Coturnix japonica: one gene and its partner. The protein of the gene in region 1 purifies or fractionates together with the protein of each later gene. This does not show direct contact. Links are inferred from orthologs where the notes say so. Each region holds a gene or a part of one and is shown on either strand. Other genes may lie near its edges.

Region 1 (10,363 bases):
CAAGGAAGTGAATATCTGTATTATAACCACGTGTAGCAATTCATTGTGTAAGAATTTTTATTTAGGTTGAAGTTTGCTTCTATAGCAAGATCATAAACTTGGGAAATACAGTTATGCCCATAAAAGCTAGTATTCATTTTCCTAAAGAGCTGCCTGCAAAGCTTTAGCAATTGTGTATAGGGAGAATGTGAGACTTGTCTTTGATACTGGGGCAGGCATCTTTCTTTTCTGAATGTACCTGCATTCCTTTGTTGCTGGTGTTTCTTTTCTCAGGGCCATGAGATGACAAGTATTGGACTGTTACTTGGTGTTTCTGCTGCCAAGCTGGGCACGATGGATATGGCCATTACGCGGCTTCTAAGTATCCACATACCTGCCCTGCTTCCACCAACTTCAACAGAGCTGGATGTCCCCCACAATGTACAGGTGGCTGCTGTGATAGGAATAGGCCTTGTCTATCAGGGCACTGCTCACAGGCACACAGCTGAGGTTCTGCTGGCTGAAATAGGTGGGTGCTAGCACTGAAAAAAACAAGGTGATGACTGGGAAAGTCACAATGTATGTGTGATCTGAATGTGTTGATAAATCTTCTAATTACACCTCTGCCACTGCAATAAGCACCTCACATTTCCCAAACCTCATCTTTTTTCCTTTGAGAATTTTTCTTTTGAGAGCTTCTGAACAGTAAAGTTCTGATCTGAATTGTCTTCGTTCTGTGTAATTCTGATTTTATTTCTAACACCAACATCCTTGTGTCTGTGTAACTTCAGTTAAGAGACTGCAGTTCACTACATAGAGAAAGGGATGCACTTTAAGATGGAATTATACTTGTTTCTGATAATCTGATATGTGCAGTCTTTTGAACTAGTGGCAGCTCTTGAACTCTGCTGATGGTGTTTGTGTAGGCTCAGCGATCTTCAAAGTATGTGTAATTGTTGGTTTTTTTTTCAGGACGTCCACCTGGACCAGAAATGGAGTACTGCACAGACAGGGAGTCCTATTCACTGGCTTCTGGACTAGCCTTGGGCATGGTGTGCTTGGGAGTAAGTGCCTCTTTTCGCTTCAGTAGAAGAATTATTGTTTTTGGGGCAGGGCTAATGAGAATCATTTCATCTTCAAACCTTCCCTTGGCTAAATGATTTTTTTTGTTGTTGTTGTTGTTATGTAAGGGAACACTTGCCTATTATTTCTTTTCTTTCTTCTTTAGCATGGCAGTAATCTGATAGGTATGTCAGACCTCAATGTTCCTGAGCAGCTTTACCAGTACATGGTTGGGGGTCACAGGCGGTTCCAAGCAGGAATGCACAGGGAGAAGCACAAGTCTCCTAGTTACCAAATTAAGGTATGTGTTGGTGTTCTTTACTTGTTTAAGGGGAAGGTAATATTAGCTCAGAAGTCTTCGAAAGTCTGTATCTTAATGAATGATCTTGAATCTTTACTCATGTCACCTTTCCTAGTCAACTAGTATACACGTATATGCTTGTTTTTGCAGGAAGGAGACACAATAAATGTGGATGTTACTTGTCCAGGAGCCACGCTTGCCTTTGCTATGATCTACCTAAAGACAAATAACAGGTACTAACTTTGGAGGTACTCAAGCACTTTGCTGTAGTTTGTGATAGGAGTTTGAGCTGCCATAATGTTGGCTTTGCCTCATGTGGCTCACTCAGGTGTTTGCATGTTGCTGTAATACAGTCTGAAAACCCTGTTCCTTTACTGTGCTCTGCAGATCCATTGCTGATTGGCTTCAAACACCAGATACCATGTACTTGCTGGACTTTGTAAAACCAGAGTTCCTTTTATTGAGAGTAAGATTTTTCTTTTATTTCTCAGTCTATTTATTGATGGTAAAAAATACATCTTATTTTTTTAATAAACTCCATACGCCTGTCATACAGGACCCTTTCTACAGATAGCTGCTCTGTTACTTGTCAGCTAGAATCATACCTTCAAACAGCCTCTGCTTGCTTCTCACACTATGTTAGACAGACAGAATTTGGTGAGAAACATTTGAAGGATACATCTCGAGCTGAGTAATTTGAATGTTTAAGTGATTGTTTTATAGCTTTTCACAAATTAATTTCAATGTTGACAAACGGTTAAACCTCAGCATCTGTGTAAGCTGTAATGTGCTTTCATGTCAGCTTACCAGCTAAAGATACAGGCTTCCCAAGTGCTTATTCTGTGTCTCTTTTATCTCCAAGCAGAGTTTTAATTGCACTGAAATAAAAGCTATTTTGCCATTTCTAATATGAAAGCTAAGAAACAGCAATGGAGCTGTTAATGGGAGCAGCTACATTTCTGGATGCATGTTGTAATATGTTAAAAACTAACACTGATTTAACTTTTTTTTTTTTCTTTATTACCTTTTGGTTTTATCACTTTTTTAGACCTTAGCTCGGTGTCTGATTTTGTGGGATGACATCATGCCCAGCACTGAATGGGTTGATAGCAACGTGCCTCAAGTAGGTATATTTATGCTTCCTAGTTTTACACCCTGCTGTCTTGTGCAAGTGAACATTTCCTCAGTTGCATGAGCTGCACAATAAAGCATATGTTAATTTGCTGCGCTTTCTTAATAGGGGAAATGTGATTTGACTTAAGAGAGGCTGTGGGCTGGGCTATCAGTTAACACTGTTCACATACCACATTGAGGCCAGAGAAGAGAGGAGGAAAAGATGAATGTAACAGACACAAGTTGCAACATAGGAGTTTCTGTTGTGTTGTAAGGAAACAGTGTTTGCAAGGGGAGTGATCAGACATTAGGAGGAAAGCCCAGAATCTCTGAGACTATTCAAAGTGGAATTGGATAAGATAACCTGAGCAAATATGATATAGCTTTGAAGATGGTTTTTCTTTGAGTAAGGGCTTGAACCAAAGACTGCTGGACTTAAAGACATCAGGTGTTTCTGGCCATTTTAAACACATCTAGTTTGTTTATGTGACAGAGATAATAGTTATGCAGGGTTCTTTGACTGTTCCAGGAGCCCTGGCGGCTCACATCCTGTGTAGCATTATTGGATGGAATTCTTCATGACAATGATACTAGAAGGGGGAAGCAGTTAAACTTTCCTCTGCAAAGACCAGACAAACTCGGTGCAAAGCTCCTCTACAGGAGGATCAACTGTATTCCAGGATATGTTGCTTGGGATTTTGAAGAGCAAATTAGATTATATCTTTTAGAAATACAGGATGGAGATGAACTCCCTGGCCTCTCAAGATCTCATCCTGTTCTGTTTTCTGATATCTGAGTGCACTGTCACACTTCTGACATAATAATGCCATTGTTCTAGAAATATCGAAGGAACCAGATACACAAGCATTAAAAAGTGTGCTTTCTGGATCAGCAATACAGTGGAGCAGTAACATGTTGAAGCAAAGCTAACTTGTGTTCCTTTGAAACAGACCTACTTTGTATTACGTGAACACTTGATGGCTGGAGGGCTTAGAGAGGTTCCTCTCTATTCGTTTTTCTCTTACCCTTTTTTATAGATCATAAGAGAGAACAGTATACCTCTTCATGCAACAGAGCTGCCTTCATCAGAAGACCTGAGTTTAGAAACACTGATGTAAGTAACTTGTAAAAGATGATCTTGCATATAAAAGAATATTTTACAAAGCCAAATTCTGCTTCTGATAAAATGCAGCTGAACTTTTGAAGACATATCAGGATCAAATAAATCTTTCCCTGGTATCTGAGGAATTTATTCTCTCTGTAGTGGAGAGGGTCTGTCTTTTTTCTTTTTTTTTTTTTTTCCTATTATAAGAGCTTTTAGTGCATACTCAGATTAATAAAAAAGATAAATACTTCATCAATTCCTGTTCGTGTTGTTTACTAGGCAAGCTCATGTCTACATCATTGCTGGGGCATGTTTGTCACTGGGATTTCGATTTGCTGGCTCAGAAAATAAGGCAGCATTTAACTGCTTGGTAAGAGGTTGGATTTCTTCATGTAAAATCCATAGAGCTATAGCTTATCCTTTGTATCTCTATTCAGCATGCATTTCTTTCCTTTCCAGGATAAATACGCAACAGATTTCCTGAAAAGTTTGTCAGCACCAACAGCTTCTATAGTAAGTTATTCCAAGTTTTCTCTCTACTTTGATTACCATCACTGAAACCTTAATGCAAGCAGAACCATTCCTCTTACTTGTGTGTATTACAGACTTACAGCATGTAGGAGGGTTGTGAATCACTGTTAAGGACTTCACTGTTTCCCCACTCTCCCTCTTTCTGTGGAATGTGGTTTTTCAAAGTCTGGGGTAGACAGCAGCATATTAGACAGATCAGAAGTGCATTTGACCACAGATGTGTAATGACACCTTCCCTGTTCTACATGAAGATAGGTCACTATAATCTCGAAACGTGCCTGAGCGTCCTGCTGCTGTCTCTTGCAATGGTGGTGGCTGGCTCTGGAAACTTGAAAGTTCTTCAGCTTTGCCGTTTCATGCACAAGAAGACCGGCGGAGAGATGAACTATGGATTCCATCTGGCTCACCACATGGCTTTGGGGCTTCTCTTTCTGGGAGGAGGAAGGTAAACTTGCCATTTCCTAAAGCCATATTCTTCCCCCACCTTTTCTGCAACAGCTGGAGCAGTGCACGATTTTTTTCTTTTTTTAGTGGGTATACACTTGTAAATTCCTTTTCTGTACTTTGTTACTGTCCTTCCCGAATGCAAGAGACCAGAACATATTGAACATCTGTGGTAGTGGCATGTGTTTGTTGGCAGTAAGACTAATAGATAATGTTTTTCAACAGATACTCACTGAGCACTTCAAATTCTTCCATTGCTGCTCTCCTTTGTGCTCTGTACCCTCACTTCCCTGTTCACAGCACAGACAATAGGTAAGTGTTTGTTAACTTCATGTTTCTTTAAAGTTTATATCTCCTTAACTTTCAGGCTAAATAATCTCCTTACAATAGAGGTTATAGAGAGAAATTCTCTTGGAAATTTATATAGGCACGATATAGCTAATTTTTTGGAGGTTCATCCCCTGAAGAAATGTAAATAGCAGAAGCAGTAAGATGATGGTTCTGATCATTGATCAATGAGGAAATGCAAACAGGTGTCCTGGGGCTTCTGCTACAATGACTTATCTGTTCCAGCTTGCTCAGCAAAAAAAAAGTCATGCAAGATCTGTCTGTTTATGATTCTTCATGAATTTAATTAAAATTCATGAAGTCCTGTCTTGTTAGCTGAAGCATACCATGTTAAGGAAGTCTTTGAAACCTGCTTAATTACTCCAAATTTAACTTCAGTTCAGTTGACAGCTGTATGTAGTTACTGAGCTGTGTGTAGCTTACTATTTGGGATTATTCTGTGCCTGTACTGCTTGTCTTGAGTTTCCTTTCCCCACACACAGGTATCATCTTCAGGCTTTGCGGCACTTGTACGTGCTGGCAGCGGATCCAAGGCTCTTAATACCCGTTGATGTGGACTCAAACACTCCTTGTTACGCACTGTTAGAAGTTACATTCAAGGTAAGGAGTGAAGGCGTTTGAGGAGGTGTGGGAGGCAACTGAAAACTCCGATACACCAAAGCTCTGCTATTTTCATTGTTGTGGCCTGCAGTTTTGGGTTTGTTTTCAAGTTGTGGAGATAAGCCTGATTCTTTAGGCAAATAATTGAAGGGCTGTGTTCAGCCCACTCACACGTTACACGTGCTTTGATGACACAGAGAGGAGAATACAGGACAAATAAAAAGCACCACAAACTCTTCAAGTACGTAATAGCTGACCCAGAGTTGTAGTTCTCATTTTTCTAAAGAGAAAACTTTCAAAGATGCAGAGGTGGTTGGGGCCGTTTGTGGGTTTAACAGCTGCCTTCTAATTCTGCTGAGACTGGCAACTTGGTGTCTCTCTCTACATGATGTGCCTTCTGGGGAAGAATGCTTTCTCTACTGTTTATTCTCATATAGATTAACGTGAGATGGGTGGTGCTTGAGAAAGACCTAAAGAAGGGGTTGCTGAGATTTCAGGGGAGAAGTGTTGCAGTGCAGATCCTCCATGGGTCTGGCAAAGATGCTGAAGTTCTGTTCCTTGCTGTGGGAGGAGATAGGGCTATCCATACTATCATTTTCTTCTCAAACTTTTGGATTTCAATGGAGTGTGCCTGCTGTTGTGTGGTGATTCTTCTATGAGAAGTAGCTCTCTAGTTCAGGCTTATGTCTTGTAATGTTAAAGGTAATGCTAAGCTATGTATTTAGTCAGAGTTCAGCAACAGAAACTGACTGGCCTCTGCAACTGTGTTGCAAGAAGCACGTTTTCTTTCTTTTCACATGAAAGTGAGCTTTACTAATATGTGAATCCTGATGGCATTTTGAAGGGCACACAATGGTATGAAGAAACCACCGAGGAAATGATGGCACCCACGCTTCTTCCAGAGCTTCACTTGCTGAAGCAGGTAAAAGAAGTCCATGTTTAATGGAGAATATAATTACATGGGTTGTGTGCTGCCTGTGGTGCAGGAGCACTTGGTGAAGTTTCTTTGACCCAACACTAGGCAGGCTGTGGACAATGCTGTCTATAGCAGTGGCTCTGAAGGCAGTTGTCACTGTGAGTGCACATGCTGTCTCATGGCACGTGCTTCTCTTTGGTCTTGGCTGTCATGCTTTCAAGATCTGATGTAGCAGGGGTTTCCCTGTACCAAAAGCTTCACTGCAAGAGAGACAAAGCTAGTCCCTCCTTCATGTTTTCAGAGTGGGTAACGTGATAAAAGGTCATTTCCCCTTGTAATGGCAGGGAAAGGGCTTTAGGCTTACGTAGAAAACCCTGTTACGTTTCTGGTTATACCTCATAATAAAAATGCTTAAATCAACAGATCAGAGTGAAGGGACCACGGTACTGGGAACTTCTAATAGATTTAAGCAACGAAACAAGTCATCTCAAGTAAGTACTATTTGTAGTGCTTAAATGAATAATAACCTCGTATTTATTTCAAAATAAAAGAGAAAAGAAAACCAACACACTCCCATACTTGTAACACCTACGGTTTGCAAAGCAGTCTGCTTTTGATCAGATTGCTGTTGTGCATTTGATGGCGCTTTAAAGCGAAGAAAGAAACTGCGTAGTTGGTTTCACCTGTTGATGAGAATAATTCATGCAAAAAACAGGTCAGGGGAAAACCTGATAGTAAAAACCACAGATATTGGTAGCGGGATTTAGCAGCACCAGAAACCATCTGAATCTCATGGTTTTGGTTTAGTTTTGAGTTGTTGTGATGTCATGTTTCCCAGGCTGTTGATACAGTAATTAGCCAGCAGTTACCGCTTTGTGAAATACTATTTCTCTGATGTTACATGTAGCATACAGTGCTTACTGCATTTTTAACTCTCCATTGGGCAACTGTGAAAAACAGAAATCTTACCGGAATCACAGTATCTGTGAGTAAAATCATTCTCACTTGGTGCTTTTAGCAACCTACAGTGTAACTTGTCACCGTGAGTAGTGTGGAAGAAGCCAGCTGCATCTTTCAGCAGCAGCGTAGTTGTTCTTGTTACATGAAATGCCACCATTGAGATTAAGTTAAGCATTACAATGCTGCGGCTGTTGATCCGTGCCTTTAGCAATAACAGAGCTGATGTGGAGTGTGGAGTCCTCCAGATCAGCAGACACATCCTGAGTCATCTGCTACACCAGAGCTGGCAGGGCACAGCTTTGTCCTTCTATAGAGACTGCTAACACTTCAGTGCTTGTTTGCCCCTAAAGAGCCTGCCAGCACTCACTGCCGCAGCAGAAAGCAGCATGGGTGGCTGAGGAGGTTGCTGCCTTTGGCTCTGTCTGCTCTCTGGCACTCCAGATGCTTTGACTCTGCCATCTCTTGTCACAACATCGGTTACTCTATCATGTCCCAAGACCTTTCCAGTGTCAGGGACTTGGCTGGCATTGTTTTGAAGGTAAAAGCATATATGAGAAATCTTTTTTCCTGCCTTAACACAGCACAATCTGCTTGTACTATGCAAAGCAGTTACCTTCAGTTTGGAGAACTTGATTGTTACAGGGATTCCGGTGCCTACACTCTGAATGTGGTAAACATGCAGCTGCTTTGCAGCAGTGTAACTTTTGAAGTGCTGCATGCTTTTATATGTAGGCTTGGTCAGGGTTGGGGAGGAAGGGTTGTATTGGGTCATTTCTGCTTATTTGCCATTGAGGAAGGACTTGCTCAGCATTGCAGCGTGCTTTTAGAGCTGTGGCTTCCAGCTTGTGTGGTTTTCCTTGGGTGCTGGACAAAAACCTGCTTCAGGAAGTTACACTCCTTTTATTAGCAGGGCTTACCTTGTTTTCATCACCATTGCCTGCCTCCACATCACCATTTAATAGCAGTCTTCCCTGGAAGATACATAAAAAATGTTGGTTTGTGCAAGTTTAAATAATAGAGGCAAAGCATAAGCTGTGGAGTTCATGTTTATTTTGCAGGTCAGCCTCATTGTGGGCATCTGCCAATGTAAAGTAAGCACCGCTGTTGTTATTTCAGATCAATTCTTTCAAAGGGTGGTGTCTTGTACGTGAAGCTGAGAGCTGGGCAGCTCTCCTACAAGGAGGATCCCATGGGCTGGCGCAGTTTCTCAGCACAGACTATTACTCATGGGAACGAAGCACGGTCATTCAAGGTATCACTGCCTTTACTGGTTCTTATGCAGAGCAGCATGGAGGCTTTCTTACAAGGGCAGCATGGCACATAGAGGTGAAAGCTGCTAAACTTTGTTAACAAAGGATTTGGCAGTGAAGTGATGTCACCTCAGAGGAGTGTCTGAGGACAGGCTGTGAGGAACTGAGAATGTCACCTCTGGAAAGACAAAAGGGGAAGCACAGCAGGTTTGGGCTGTGTTATTTCCAGCAGGTAGCACTGCCACCAGGTTATGAGTGCTAAAGTCCTTTGTTTTGCTTAAGGGAGGTGTGCAATATGCTTAGGCCAACAGCTGCCATGCAAATGTATGTTCATCACAGAAGAATCAGGCAGGTTCTGCCCATGATATGCTTTTCGTAGGTTGCGCTGTTCTCACTTGTGTACTGGGGATGGAAAAGATGGATATAAATCACTATTTCAATTGTGTGATGAAACCAAAAAGTCCATTTTAAGAGTGTGTTTTGTTTTGTAGCCAGAAGATATTTCAGCTTTTACATCTGATCCTGCTCTATTATTGTTTGCTGAGTACTTTTGCAAACCAACTGTGAACATGGGCCAGGTATGATGTCTACATGTGAACTACCGTGCTTCCTTTTTCATGAAACAAAGGTGGGAAGAAGTCTGCTAAGATGTGAGGGACAAAATTCAGTCCTGTGGGAGTTTTCTGAGGGATGCTTTGTAGCGTGAAAGCACAAAATAGTGCTAACTCTATAGTTGTTCATGCAACCTCAGAGCTGGTTAAGCTGCAGAATACACCAATGGTTGTGCTGTGCTCATTGTGGATTGCACTGACCAAATCCTGAGAGCCCTGTGCAGTGTCCTGCAGAAGGGAGCTGTGCATTTCTTTGCACTAAGTCACCTAAGGCAGGAAGTAAAATACAGCTATGTTACACCTAGTATTAACAATCACCAGAAAGAAAGCAGGCTGCATGGCATTGCCTAGCTATTATTAGTTTGTGGAACATCAGTGCATGGGCTGACTTTAGTGGAAGGAAATTGAAGCAGTGTAAAAACCTGAAATAAATTGTGCCTGGCATGTGCAATTCATAAGATATGTGTTTTATCAGAAACAGGAAATGCTGGATTTTTTCTCTTCAATTCTCTATGAGTGCGTTACCCAAGAAAAACCAGAGATGCTGCCCACGTACATAGCAATAGATCAGGTGAAGTAAATACTGTATTTGTTATTGTTTTCTTTAAACTGCTTTGGCATAAGAATGTTTATTGCATACCATTCTATGGAAACAAAGAATAGAGGGGATATGTTGGTGAACTTATAGGAAGGGAGTGGTGATTTTAAAAGCAAATTGGAAAATAGTTTAAGGCTGTGGAAATTATAATTACACAGTGAGGTTCACTGATGGATCTTCTAAGTAGGTGCTAAAGAGGGGAGCCCTTGGAGAGGGGAGTTTTTAGGGTTCCTTTCCTTTCTCCATTAAGTTCCCATTCTCACAGTTGCTTTGTATTTCCCTCTACTAGGCTGTGAGGAGATTGGAAAGAGGAGAAATGTCTGAGACATTTGAGCTGGGGCAGATAAAGCTGGTGTTAGAATTCTTCAATTCCAGATGTCACCAGGGGAGGATGAGCAGGAATCCAAACAGAGGACTCTTCATGAACTCTGAATTTCTGCCTGTGATGAAGTGCACTATTGATAAAGCTCTGGATCAGTGGCTTCAAGGTATAGTGAACTGACTTTAAACCTGCAGCTGTGGTCATGATTCAGTGTTCTTAGTAC
Region 2 (10,127 bases), on another chromosome or scaffold:
TCCAATGTAAATAATTACTTGGCCATTTTCACTTCAAATGGCCAAGTTTGCAAACACTCCAGTGTGGCTGTGGCTAGGATGTGCATGACTTAATGGAGGCAGTTTCCTAGGAAACACCTACGTAAATGAATGAAACATTAGGATTGATTCAAAGACTTCCTAATCTGAGTGGGCAAGCTTGCACGCTGGCTGCCTCAGCTGTCCTCAGATAACAAGGCAATGGGAAGGAAGGGAAGGACAGAACCTTTACAAGTTAGATAATCCATCAGCTGTTGCTGCTTTTGCTTGTTGGTCTTACTTGCAGATTCAACTTACTGATTTATGCTGTGAACTGATGTGCTAAGCTGGCACTGCAAACTCTTCCAAAGTCTTAAAGGGAGTAGCAGGTTTAGATGGCGTTCTGTAAGGGCCACCATGGGATGTTAATGGTGGGGGGCTTCTGGATGTGAGTGTGATACAGGAATTCATTCTGAGACTGCTGGGTTGGTTTTTTAACTTCCTCCCTGTGAATAAGGAGCTTAAAATGTGACACTTTTTAATTCCCTTTTATTCTTGCACAAATGCTTAATGTAGTTTCTTGCCACTAGATGGAGATTTCATGTCTCTAAATAACATTTGTGGAGGTTTGGGAAGTTGTTATAGGCAACTTTTTCAGGCAGAGAATGAGGAATACTTTGGGTTCTCCTTACAACTGGGGGGGAAACCTTTGTGGAAATGTTACTTTTCCTCTGGGCACAGTTCAGTAGGCAGAAGAGATTTGCTTTGATAGAAATTGAAACTTGTCAGTGTCATAATAACAAACCTGTAGAAACGTTGTGTTATGCAGGCAGTCACCAGGATCAGCCAGGCTGGAACAAAGTCAGTCTTCTCCCAGAGTGGAAACAGCCGGGAGGTCACTCCAATCCTCGTTGCACAAACACAGAGCTCTGGTCCACAGACAAGGTAGTTGGGTACTTCAGTATTTGAGCATTTTTCTTTAAAACAATAAAACAATTTTTGTTTCCAGAAGAGTGAAACCAAAGTCTTTAACTTTCATGTGCTGTTTGCTTTCAGTACAACACCTCAGGTATTGAGCCCAACAATTGCTGCTCCACCAAACTCACTGCCTCGAAGAAGCTCTCGCCTTTTTACTAGTGATAGCTCCACAACAAAGGTAATGAATCCATGCTTTATTTTTTTTCCCAAGCTTGAGAGGCTTTCCTTACCCATGCCACTGCACTGCCTAATAGTTTCCCCATCTACACATCAATCATAGCAGTTTGTTCCTAAACTCCATCATGAGCAGAAAAATCAGGCTATATGAAACATGCCTTGAATGCCATATGTTCCTTTTCGTTCTCAAGAGTGCTCCACTAGGGGTGGGAAGAAGGTCATGATAAACAACAACAAAGATCTGTACTGGGATGACAAGTGCAGTTGTGCTGCTAGCTGCCAACCCATTTGACAAGGGGCTGTGTTGTGTGGATATGTTTATTTCAGAATTTCTTAGCTGGATGCTTTGCTTCTCTAAAAGCAAGCTGACTTTTTTTCTTGTCAGTTTTCTGTTCTTTAATCAGTGGAGCAGGACTTCAGAGCACAAATGCTTGTGGACTGTGGTTAATGTATGTGAATGTTTGTTAAAAAACAAAGCACTCAGTGGAGTTAGGAGGTGTTTTACTTTTGAACTCAGTTACAGACAGCTGGGCACTGTTGCGAAAGCTGTGAAGAGGGATAAATTCATTGTTACTGAACTTGCAAGTTAATCATGTTAAGTTGAATTAATTTCTTTTGTATATGTGACTTTTGTTCTTTTTGCTTGCAGGAAAATAGCAAAAAATTAAAAATGAAGTTTCCACCTAAGATTGCAAACAGGAAAACAAAAAGTAAAACAAATAAGGGAGGGATAACTCAGCCAAACATAAATGATAGCTTGGAAATTACCAAACTGGACTCTTCCATCATTTCAGAAGGGAAAATATCTACTGTTACACCACAGATCCAGGCTTTTACGCTACAGAAGGCAGCAGCAGGTCTGTTTGAATGTTATCAGACTTCAGTAAGGTCAAACTTTGGTAGATGTATGTCTTCAATCATAGTATGGTTGTGTAGGAGAGGACCTCAAAGCTCACCCACTTGCAACCCTCTGCTGTGGGCTGGCTGCCCCCCAGCAGCACAGGCCAGAATCCATCCTGGCCTTGGACACCTCCAGGGATGGGCAGCAGTGTCAGGGCATCACCACCCTCGTAAAGAATTTCCCCCTCACATCTGGCTTAAATCTCCCCTCTTAGATTAAAGCCATCCCCCTTTGTCCTAGCACTGTCTGCTGTGTGAAAAGTCGTTCTCCCTCCTGCTTATAAGCTCCCTCTAGTCTAGACGGAGGGGAAAATTGCTTTAGTTATGTGTATCATTTCAGTCAACCTGCAGCTCTTCTGTAATTATCAAGATAGTTGGAGTACACTGAACTCAATGTAACTTACAGAGAACTAATGAAATAATAGGATGAAAAAAACAGTGAGCAAACGTATCTGACTCTGGTTCTTATGAGTGTTTAAGATGTTTTCAGGCAGGAACCCTGGAAACTGATTCAAAGGAGTTATGAGTAATTCAATTATCTTAAAATTAGATTTGTGTTGTCTATTCTCCCTTGCGGTTTCCTATTTAAGCACAAATCTTTGTCCAGTTTGACAGAAAATCCTAGACAAGCTATTGAATTCCTCTCTTTTGGCTCCATAAAGTTTCCAGGCAGCGAGCAGATGTGTCCATGGATACCAGACATGTGGAAACTGAGACCTAAAAAAAAATAAGTTTGAGTTGTTGGTGTAAGTGCAGAAATCCACTTCTCCTGAGCGTCACCATTTCTCTGTTCCTGAGTGTTCTGTTGCTGGCTTGAGAAGTTGTCAACACCTGACTTCCACTGCTGTTTAGAATGTTGTGTTGTGAATTAAGAGTGGATAAGCCTGCTTAAGGACTCTTGGAAGATATTCATATGCAAAATTAGGAGCAGTGCCACAGTGTGAAGCTTATGAGGATTAGCTGTTTCAAGTAAATGAATTTCAGCAGTTTTTTCCATTTTTACTTATTGTATTTTTCTCCTAGAAGGTTTGATGAGCCTTCTTCGTGACATGGGGAAAGGTTATTTAGCCCTGTGCTCATACAACTGCAAAGAAGCGATAAATATTTTAAGCCATTTGCCATCTCACCACTACAACACTGGCTGGGTGCTGTGCCAGATTGGGAGAGCTTACTTTGAACTTGCAGAATACATGCAGGTAGGAACTGCCTGTGGTTGGTTTTGAGTCTGTGTCAGCAGTCGTTGTTTCCTGAAGTTGAGTTGTGCTTCAGATTTCTTTTAATGCTGAAGTTACTTCCTCTTGCATCCAGTCCTGGGAGTCTCCCTTTGCCTTTCTCCATCTTCACCCTCACTTGGGCTGATGCAGCTGTTTGTACTGCAGTGCTGTAAATAATCACTGAAACAATTCAGGTTCCAAAACCAGGTGTTCTTCTCCCCCCCCTTATTTAGTTAATGGAGATCCATTGATGACCTGGTTCCCTTTGCAGCTGAGGTGATAGCAAACTGCTTCACAACAGAAAAAAGCAGCTAAGATGAATCCAGCCGTTCAGCTCTTATTCTCTCTGTTGCCCTGACAGTTGTTGTGCTTGTTTCCTGCAGGAGTCACAAGCAGGGAGGGCAGCTGGAATTCTGCTTGGTCTAACTGTATTGGAGTGCAGTCATTTCCTTTGGTGGGGAAGATAAAAATACAACAGGACTTGTAGCTCTGCCTCATGTTTGCATAGCAAAGAATTCTCATTCTGGACATATGAGGCTTCTAACTTTGATCTGTGTGCTCTGTTTGAGTGGGTGGAATTGCTGTTGTTTGATTTCTCATTTCCTTTCTTAGGCTGAAAGGATATTTTCAGAAGTGAGGAGGATTGAAAACTACAGAGTAGAAGGCATGGAGATCTATTCAACTACGCTGTGGCATCTGCAGAAAGATGTTGCTCTGTCAGTTCTTTCAAAGGATTTAACAGACATGGATAAAAACTCACCAGAGGTACAAAATGCTGTGGTGCTCAGTGAGATGAGTAACTGTGTGCGGCACAGACAGTGACAGGGAACAGAACTTGGACTGGAGCTGGATTAGGATTTCATTCTCACTTGAGAAATATGAGGTGAAACTGGAGAGGGAGGTGGCAGGATTTGCCTGTTGAGCTGATGATGCCTGAAATGGCTGCTTGGCGTTAGAATATCAGCTTATATGGGACACGTTGTGAACCTTTAATCTATTAATGGTGATTTGAATCTGTATTGACATTGTTAATCCAGGAAGATCATGGGTTGATCAATTGTCCCTGCTGATGCCCACATGTAAAGATAAGGGATGTTTTTTCTCATATTATCTTCTAACTGCTGTAATTCACTGGCACTCATATTTCCTGCACAACTTGTACAACGCTGCTTGAAAATATTTTTATGCTGAAGTCCGTTGAGCTGGTATTATAACATGCACATGACATGCAAGCAAGCTGACATGTGCCCCAATAATAAGTATGTATGTGTGTGGAGGGGATATAAATCTGCTCTTGACAGAGTGGGGGAAGCTGTGGAGTCTGTTGGGATTTTCTGCTGGAGATGAACCTATTCAGGTCATTCTATTTTGTACTAGAGGAAGGAGGACTTAGTGAAGCAACTGGTCAGTACTGTTAAAACTGTTGTTTATAATCTAGTAGCAAGTGACATAATTGCATAGATCAGTGACAGAAGATCTGTTTAGCTCAGACTTGGTCATTCTGCAGGTTGTGAAATGACACTTCTAACTTAGAATGCTGTTTTTTATTAGGCATGGTGTGCTGCAGGGAACTGCTTCAGCTTGCAACGAGAGCATGACATTGCAATCAAGTTCTTCCAGAGAGCCATTCAAGTTGATCCAAACTATGCTTACGCCTACACCCTTTTGGGGCATGAATTTGTGTTAACAGAAGAGCTAGACAAGGCATTAGCTTGTTTTAGGAATGCAATCAGAGTCAACTCCAGGCACTACAATGCATGGTAAGTCTTGCTTCATCCCCCTTCTGCTGTATGTGATATGGAGCACCTTTGGGAGGAATAAGCTGCAAACGCTGCTGTGAATTTTGTGAGACTTTTCTGTCATTGAGTCATTTCTAAATATGTGCCACTTCTACCAGTCCATATTTGCTGATGACAATTAGTTTATTTAAGATGCACTCTTATTAATGGAACTGTTTTTCCTTTTTGCAGGTATGGGTTGGGAATGATTTATTACAAACAGGAGAAATTCAGTTTAGCAGAAATGCATTTCCAGAAAGCACTTGATATCAATCCTCAGAGCTCAGTCTTACTGTGTCACATTGGAGTAGTAAGTAGATTGCGCTCAGCTCTCTCCTTGTTATGTTCTGATTTGCCTCTGCCCTTTACCTGCAACCTTCCTGAACTTGAAGTGCAAAAACAAACAAAACAAAGTTCAGAGGATCTATTAGAGGATCTTATTGCATGAATGAATAACCGTGGGATTGTGTCAGAAAATAAATCCTCTTTTCTCCCTCCCCCCAGTTGCTTTTAGCCAGTGTTGAAATGGCTTACTGACTCAACCTGATAGCATAGGCTTACCTGTGAGAAAGCTTGGTTTCTTTAAGACTCAGTAGGAACAGGTTGTAAGTAAACGTAGCAGCACCAGTCAAATTTACTTTATTCTTTTCCCCTTTTGAGATTTTATTCCTGTTCTGTTACAGGTCCAACACGCACTGAAAAAATCTGAAAAGGCTTTGGATACTCTAAACAAAGCAATTAACATCGACCCCAAGAACCCACTATGCAAATTCCATAGAGCTTCTGTACTGTTTGCAAATGAGAAATACAAGGTAAGATTTGATGCACGTAGACAACCTTAGATTATCTGTTACTTGCTACAGCAGCGGATGGGGATGCAGTGATAAGCATTAAGGCTTGAAGCATGAGTAGGAAGAGCCTGAGGCAGAGCAGCTAATAAAGCATTTGTTTCAAGAAGTGCCACCTTCACTGAGCAGGAGATTAAAAGTCAAAAGCAGAGGATACCTGTGAGCAGGAGAAAAAAAATTAGATGTTATTATAGGAGACCAAAGCCCAGCGTATTTATTCTGTGCTTGTAATAATTGGGCCATAACATTCTATAGCCATTAAAGGAGAAACTAATGTAAAAGAAACTTGAGGTGCTTCTGATGAGGCCGTACTGTTGTTTGTGGTGGAGTGTGCTGTATGTCAGTTGCGAGGTTTGCATCAGCTCTGAGTTGCAGTTCAGCAATGCAATAACTGGCTGCTGGTTGCCAGCTTGTGCTTATTTTTTTTCTTCCTTTTCAGTCTGCTTTGCAAGAACTTGAAGAACTGAAGCAGATTGTTCCCAAAGAGTCTCTTGTTTACTTCTTAATAGGAAAGGTAGGTGAAATTTCACTGTGTTTGTAAGCACTTTGTTTTCCTTCATTGCAGAAACGTCTGCTTAATGAGGAAACTTGAAGCCTGTTGCCAAGCTGTTTACATTTGGGGCAGCATTGTAAAATTCACAGAGCCTTCAATAAGACTTGCTGCATATAATCTCACAGCTCTCCAACGTAACAGCTTTCAGCCTTAAAAGACTGGAGCAACCTCAAGCTATTTTTATAACCACCCAAGAAAAGATAACCCAAGCTCCTGTTGTCTTCTTTTACATCTGTTGTCTCAGAGGAATTCATTTTAGAAAGCAAGAAATGGATCTTTATTGAGATCTTTAACTGCAAAGAGGTTGCAGTAGTTAGAACAGCTTTCAGGGCTAGGCTGACTATCAGTCATCTGTGTTGGTTATTTGGGCCTGGAGATGTGAAAGTGTTGAACCATGCTCAAATGTATAAATGTATTAATATTGCATCAGAAGTGCTGAGTAAGTGTCTGTGGGGTGCTTTTACTCCTCCGTGTCTGTTTCAGCTGATGGCCTTTGCAAGTGGGTTACAGAAGGCGATATCCTTCTGTATCAGTTTGGGAAGTGGGAAATCTTAATGAGGCTGTAGGAGTTCCGAGGCTTAAATTACATCTGAAGAACCACTTCCTTATGTTCTTGAATCTGTTGGCTGCTAATTTCATTTGATCACTTCATTTAAATTTGGGCACTTAGGCAGAAACACTCATGCACTTTTTCTACATGCTTTTGCTGTTTCCCTCTGGACTTGTGTAATAAATGTTTGAATCTACTCTACTGCTTCTCATATGTGTTAGTTAACTGTGACTTATTGTGTTTGTTGTCCAACCTTTCACACAGCACCTTGTAAACGTAGCATTTCATGCTTTTATTTTAGGTTTATAAAAAGCTGGGGCAAACCCATTTGGCCCTAATGAATTTCTCCTGGGCGATGGACTTAGATCCCAAAGGAGCCAACAACCAAATTAAAGAGGCTATCGATAAACGTTACCTTCCAGATGACGAGGAACCAATAACTCAAGAAGAGCAAATCAGTGAATGTTATCCCTATGAATCAGGTTTGTATTTTGCATATGCGTGTTCTGCATCCCTAAATCTTCACCTGGAAAAGCTGTTAGGGTGTATATCATAGTAATTCCTAGTGGTCTTGTCCCACTGTGCTTTCAATATGGGGAGCTGCACTGCACTTCCTGATGTGCCAGGCTTTCCTCTTGCTGTTGAGGTTGGATTACCTGCATATAATCTGCATGTAAGGCTGGTGCACTTTGTGGGCTGAGTCACCAGAAGATGGAGACAGAGTACTGGAACTTCAGTGGCAGTCAAATGATGGAGCAGAGGGTGGGAGGTTGGGGGAAGCCCCGTGACTTAATCTGTCCTATAAATATAACTGAAATAAAAGGTGTACGTTTGGATCATAAGTGATCACAATCACAGTGCATTGATGTGGTGGGTAACAGGAGCGAGCATCTGTTAAGTGAAGGAGACTGCAGGTTTTTGTATTTTGTGATCCCAATTCCTTTCTAAATGCATTTATTTCAACTGTATTAAGCTAGCGGGGGGTCACCTTATTGCAATGAAAAGACCTTATGGCTCCTTAAGCCTTTTGAGGGAGGGGGATGAAGGCAGGAGCTCAGTTTCACATTGATGAGGTACCAACATGTTGCTGCTGTGCTGCAGTTGGCTGTGCAGGAACTGTAGTCAAGTTTTGACCAATTTTGTGTTCTGTTTCTTTTTCCAAGTTGGCACAGACGAATCCCAAGAGAGCAGCATGACGGATGCAGATGACACACAGCTCCATGCAGTTGAAAGCGATGAATTTTAACCTCCAAAAAGCCAACATGTGGGCTTGAGTGTGTGACTGGTACTGTTGTGTTCTCCCTTTCCTTTGCGTCCTGGGTCTTCACATCACTGAGCCAGCATTGTCATGAATTCTCCACTGACACCATGAGTTCACCGCTCAGACTGTGCACAGAATTAATGGCAGTGCAATATTTGGCTGCTGCTGAGGTTGACTTGTTGGCTCTTATAAGGAGGAAATGCTGGGTTTTTGGTTTATTTTGGACTCCCCTTTGCTGGAAAAAATATCATGGAAGAGACGTGCGGGTTGCTGTAACGAAGCCAGTAGATGTGGGGGCAGTACTAATGAAGCGGTGTCTTGTTCCTTTCCCAGAAGTGTGTCTTAGTTTGGTTCTTTCTTGGTGAGCAGAGTGCTGAACTTCATTTCCGAGTTCTTTGAGGACAGTGTTGACAAATGCTGTTAAAGACTTTTGCATATTGTAGTGTAACTTAAATGCCAGGGAATGTAAATGACCTTAAAGCTGCAGCATCTCCAGTGAACAAACAGAGCGTGTGTGCTCAGGGCTGGGGCTGTCAGACCATGTAACAGCACCCTGTGTCCCTCTTAGAGTGCAAACCTGCAGGGATGGGGACGTAGCAAGAGAATCACAGTGCAGAATCACAGCTTTCACGGAGAACTTTCATGTCCTTAACAGAGACTTAATTTATTCACCTAGTTTCTAAGATGTCTTTACTTTGTACGTTAAACAAGTCAGCGGTGCATTGCTCCATTTGTTTTTTCATACACCCCCTTGAGTTGTTCTTCCCGGTGTGAAAATAAACATTAATAAAGGGGCAAAACCAAGAGAGAGAAATGCAGATACGACTTAACGTGGATCCACCGAGCCCTTTCCCTGCAGTGACTGCCTGCTGCTGAACCAATCCATGGGGAAGACCAGAAGCCTTAATGCAAAATCAGAACCTTACAGTCGAATGCATCAGGTAACAATTGCCTCAGATCGGATCCTTTTTAAACCAGTTTTGTAACGTGTGGTCCAAGCGGAGTGCAGAGATGTGCAGTTCTCTGTGGTTTTGGGTTTGTTTTAAGCTGTTCTTTGAGGTCCTCGGAATCGCTTTCTCTCTATAGGATTATAGACCCCTTCCCTCCTCCCTGAGGCTGTTTCTGTGTGAAGAAAGCTGTGCCACACTGAGTCCAAAACGACCTTTCTCTGTAGTGTTTTGCAGCAACAATTGGTGCCCTTTATGCAGTGATGATAAAGAAAGTGTATGATAAAAGCAGTTTTAAAGAGCGATTTATGCATAATAAATTGGGAATGATATAAATTTCATAGCAACATAACTTGTTGGTGTCAGCCTTGATCTTTTTGTTGCTGTCTTGTGAAGGGTTTCTCTCTGTGCATTAAACCATAGCATTGCACTGTGCTCCATCACAGCTCCTTGCTGTTGTGAGTCATAGGGACACATTTATTGCATGAGAAATAACCCAAAGTGCAGCCTTTGTGTTCTTGGACAAGCAGAGGAAAGTGAGCTGAGCATCCCCAGCATTGTGAAGGTCCTGAAAGGTGAAGAATAAACACCCCCCCCTCCACTGATGGAGGCAGTGCCTGCATCTGCCCTGCCACAATGGATGGAGTCTTTTGGTTCCCAACCCATTTTCTAAGCAGAAATAATGAGCTTCATCCCCAGGAGCTCCTCAGCTGCAGCAGGTGAGTCTTTCCCTGTGTATGGGAAGGAACACCGAGTGCTTCCAGCTCCCAGAGCAGCACCTTGCTTGGTTCATCTCCTTTCCATCCTCTGCTGCTGCTCTGACTTCCCCCAGGAATTGCTGCTTGTTTTGACCTGAGGCTTAGGAAGCCAGGGGGCTCCTTCCCTCCTGTGGCCATTGAGAACAGTTACACAACAGTCATGAAC

What was found.
Region 2: the proteins of ANAPC1 (region 1) and CDC27 purify together in Homo sapiens (affinity purification with mass spectrometry; 16 studies listed by BioGRID and IntAct, with this or other methods). This does not show direct contact. The link is inferred for Coturnix japonica from reciprocal best matches to the Homo sapiens genes ANAPC1 and CDC27.

The regions. Positions count from the first base shown.
Region 1 is NC_029518.1:4,579,572-4,589,934, forward strand, and holds part of ANAPC1 (anaphase-promoting complex subunit 1), read left to right. Parts: intron 1-273; coding exon 274-508; intron 509-951; coding exon 952-1,043; intron 1,044-1,207; coding exon 1,208-1,342; intron 1,343-1,492; coding exon 1,493-1,575; intron 1,576-1,729; coding exon 1,730-1,808; intron 1,809-2,390; coding exon 2,391-2,465; intron 2,466-3,492; coding exon 3,493-3,569; intron 3,570-3,839; coding exon 3,840-3,930; intron 3,931-4,019; coding exon 4,020-4,073; intron 4,074-4,342; coding exon 4,343-4,536; intron 4,537-4,760; coding exon 4,761-4,847; intron 4,848-5,365; coding exon 5,366-5,483; intron 5,484-6,327; coding exon 6,328-6,405; intron 6,406-6,822; coding exon 6,823-6,890; intron 6,891-8,475; coding exon 8,476-8,611; intron 8,612-9,100; coding exon 9,101-9,187; intron 9,188-9,695; coding exon 9,696-9,791; intron 9,792-10,107; coding exon 10,108-10,306; intron 10,307-10,363. UniProt on the Homo sapiens protein: Component of the anaphase promoting complex/cyclosome (APC/C), a cell cycle-regulated E3 ubiquitin ligase that controls progression through mitosis and the G1 phase of the cell cycle.
Region 2 is NC_029542.1:2,299,337-2,309,463, forward strand, and holds the end of CDC27 (cell division cycle protein 27 homolog), read left to right. Parts: intron 1-808; coding exon 809-942; intron 943-1,053; coding exon 1,054-1,153; intron 1,154-1,801; coding exon 1,802-2,009; intron 2,010-3,075; coding exon 3,076-3,248; intron 3,249-3,878; coding exon 3,879-4,031; intron 4,032-4,817; coding exon 4,818-5,026; intron 5,027-5,236; coding exon 5,237-5,354; intron 5,355-5,727; coding exon 5,728-5,856; intron 5,857-6,331; coding exon 6,332-6,406; intron 6,407-7,296; coding exon 7,297-7,477; intron 7,478-8,158; coding exon 8,159-8,241; 3' UTR 8,242-9,555; downstream 9,556-10,127. UniProt on the Homo sapiens protein: Component of the anaphase promoting complex/cyclosome (APC/C), a cell cycle-regulated E3 ubiquitin ligase that controls progression through mitosis and the G1 phase of the cell cycle.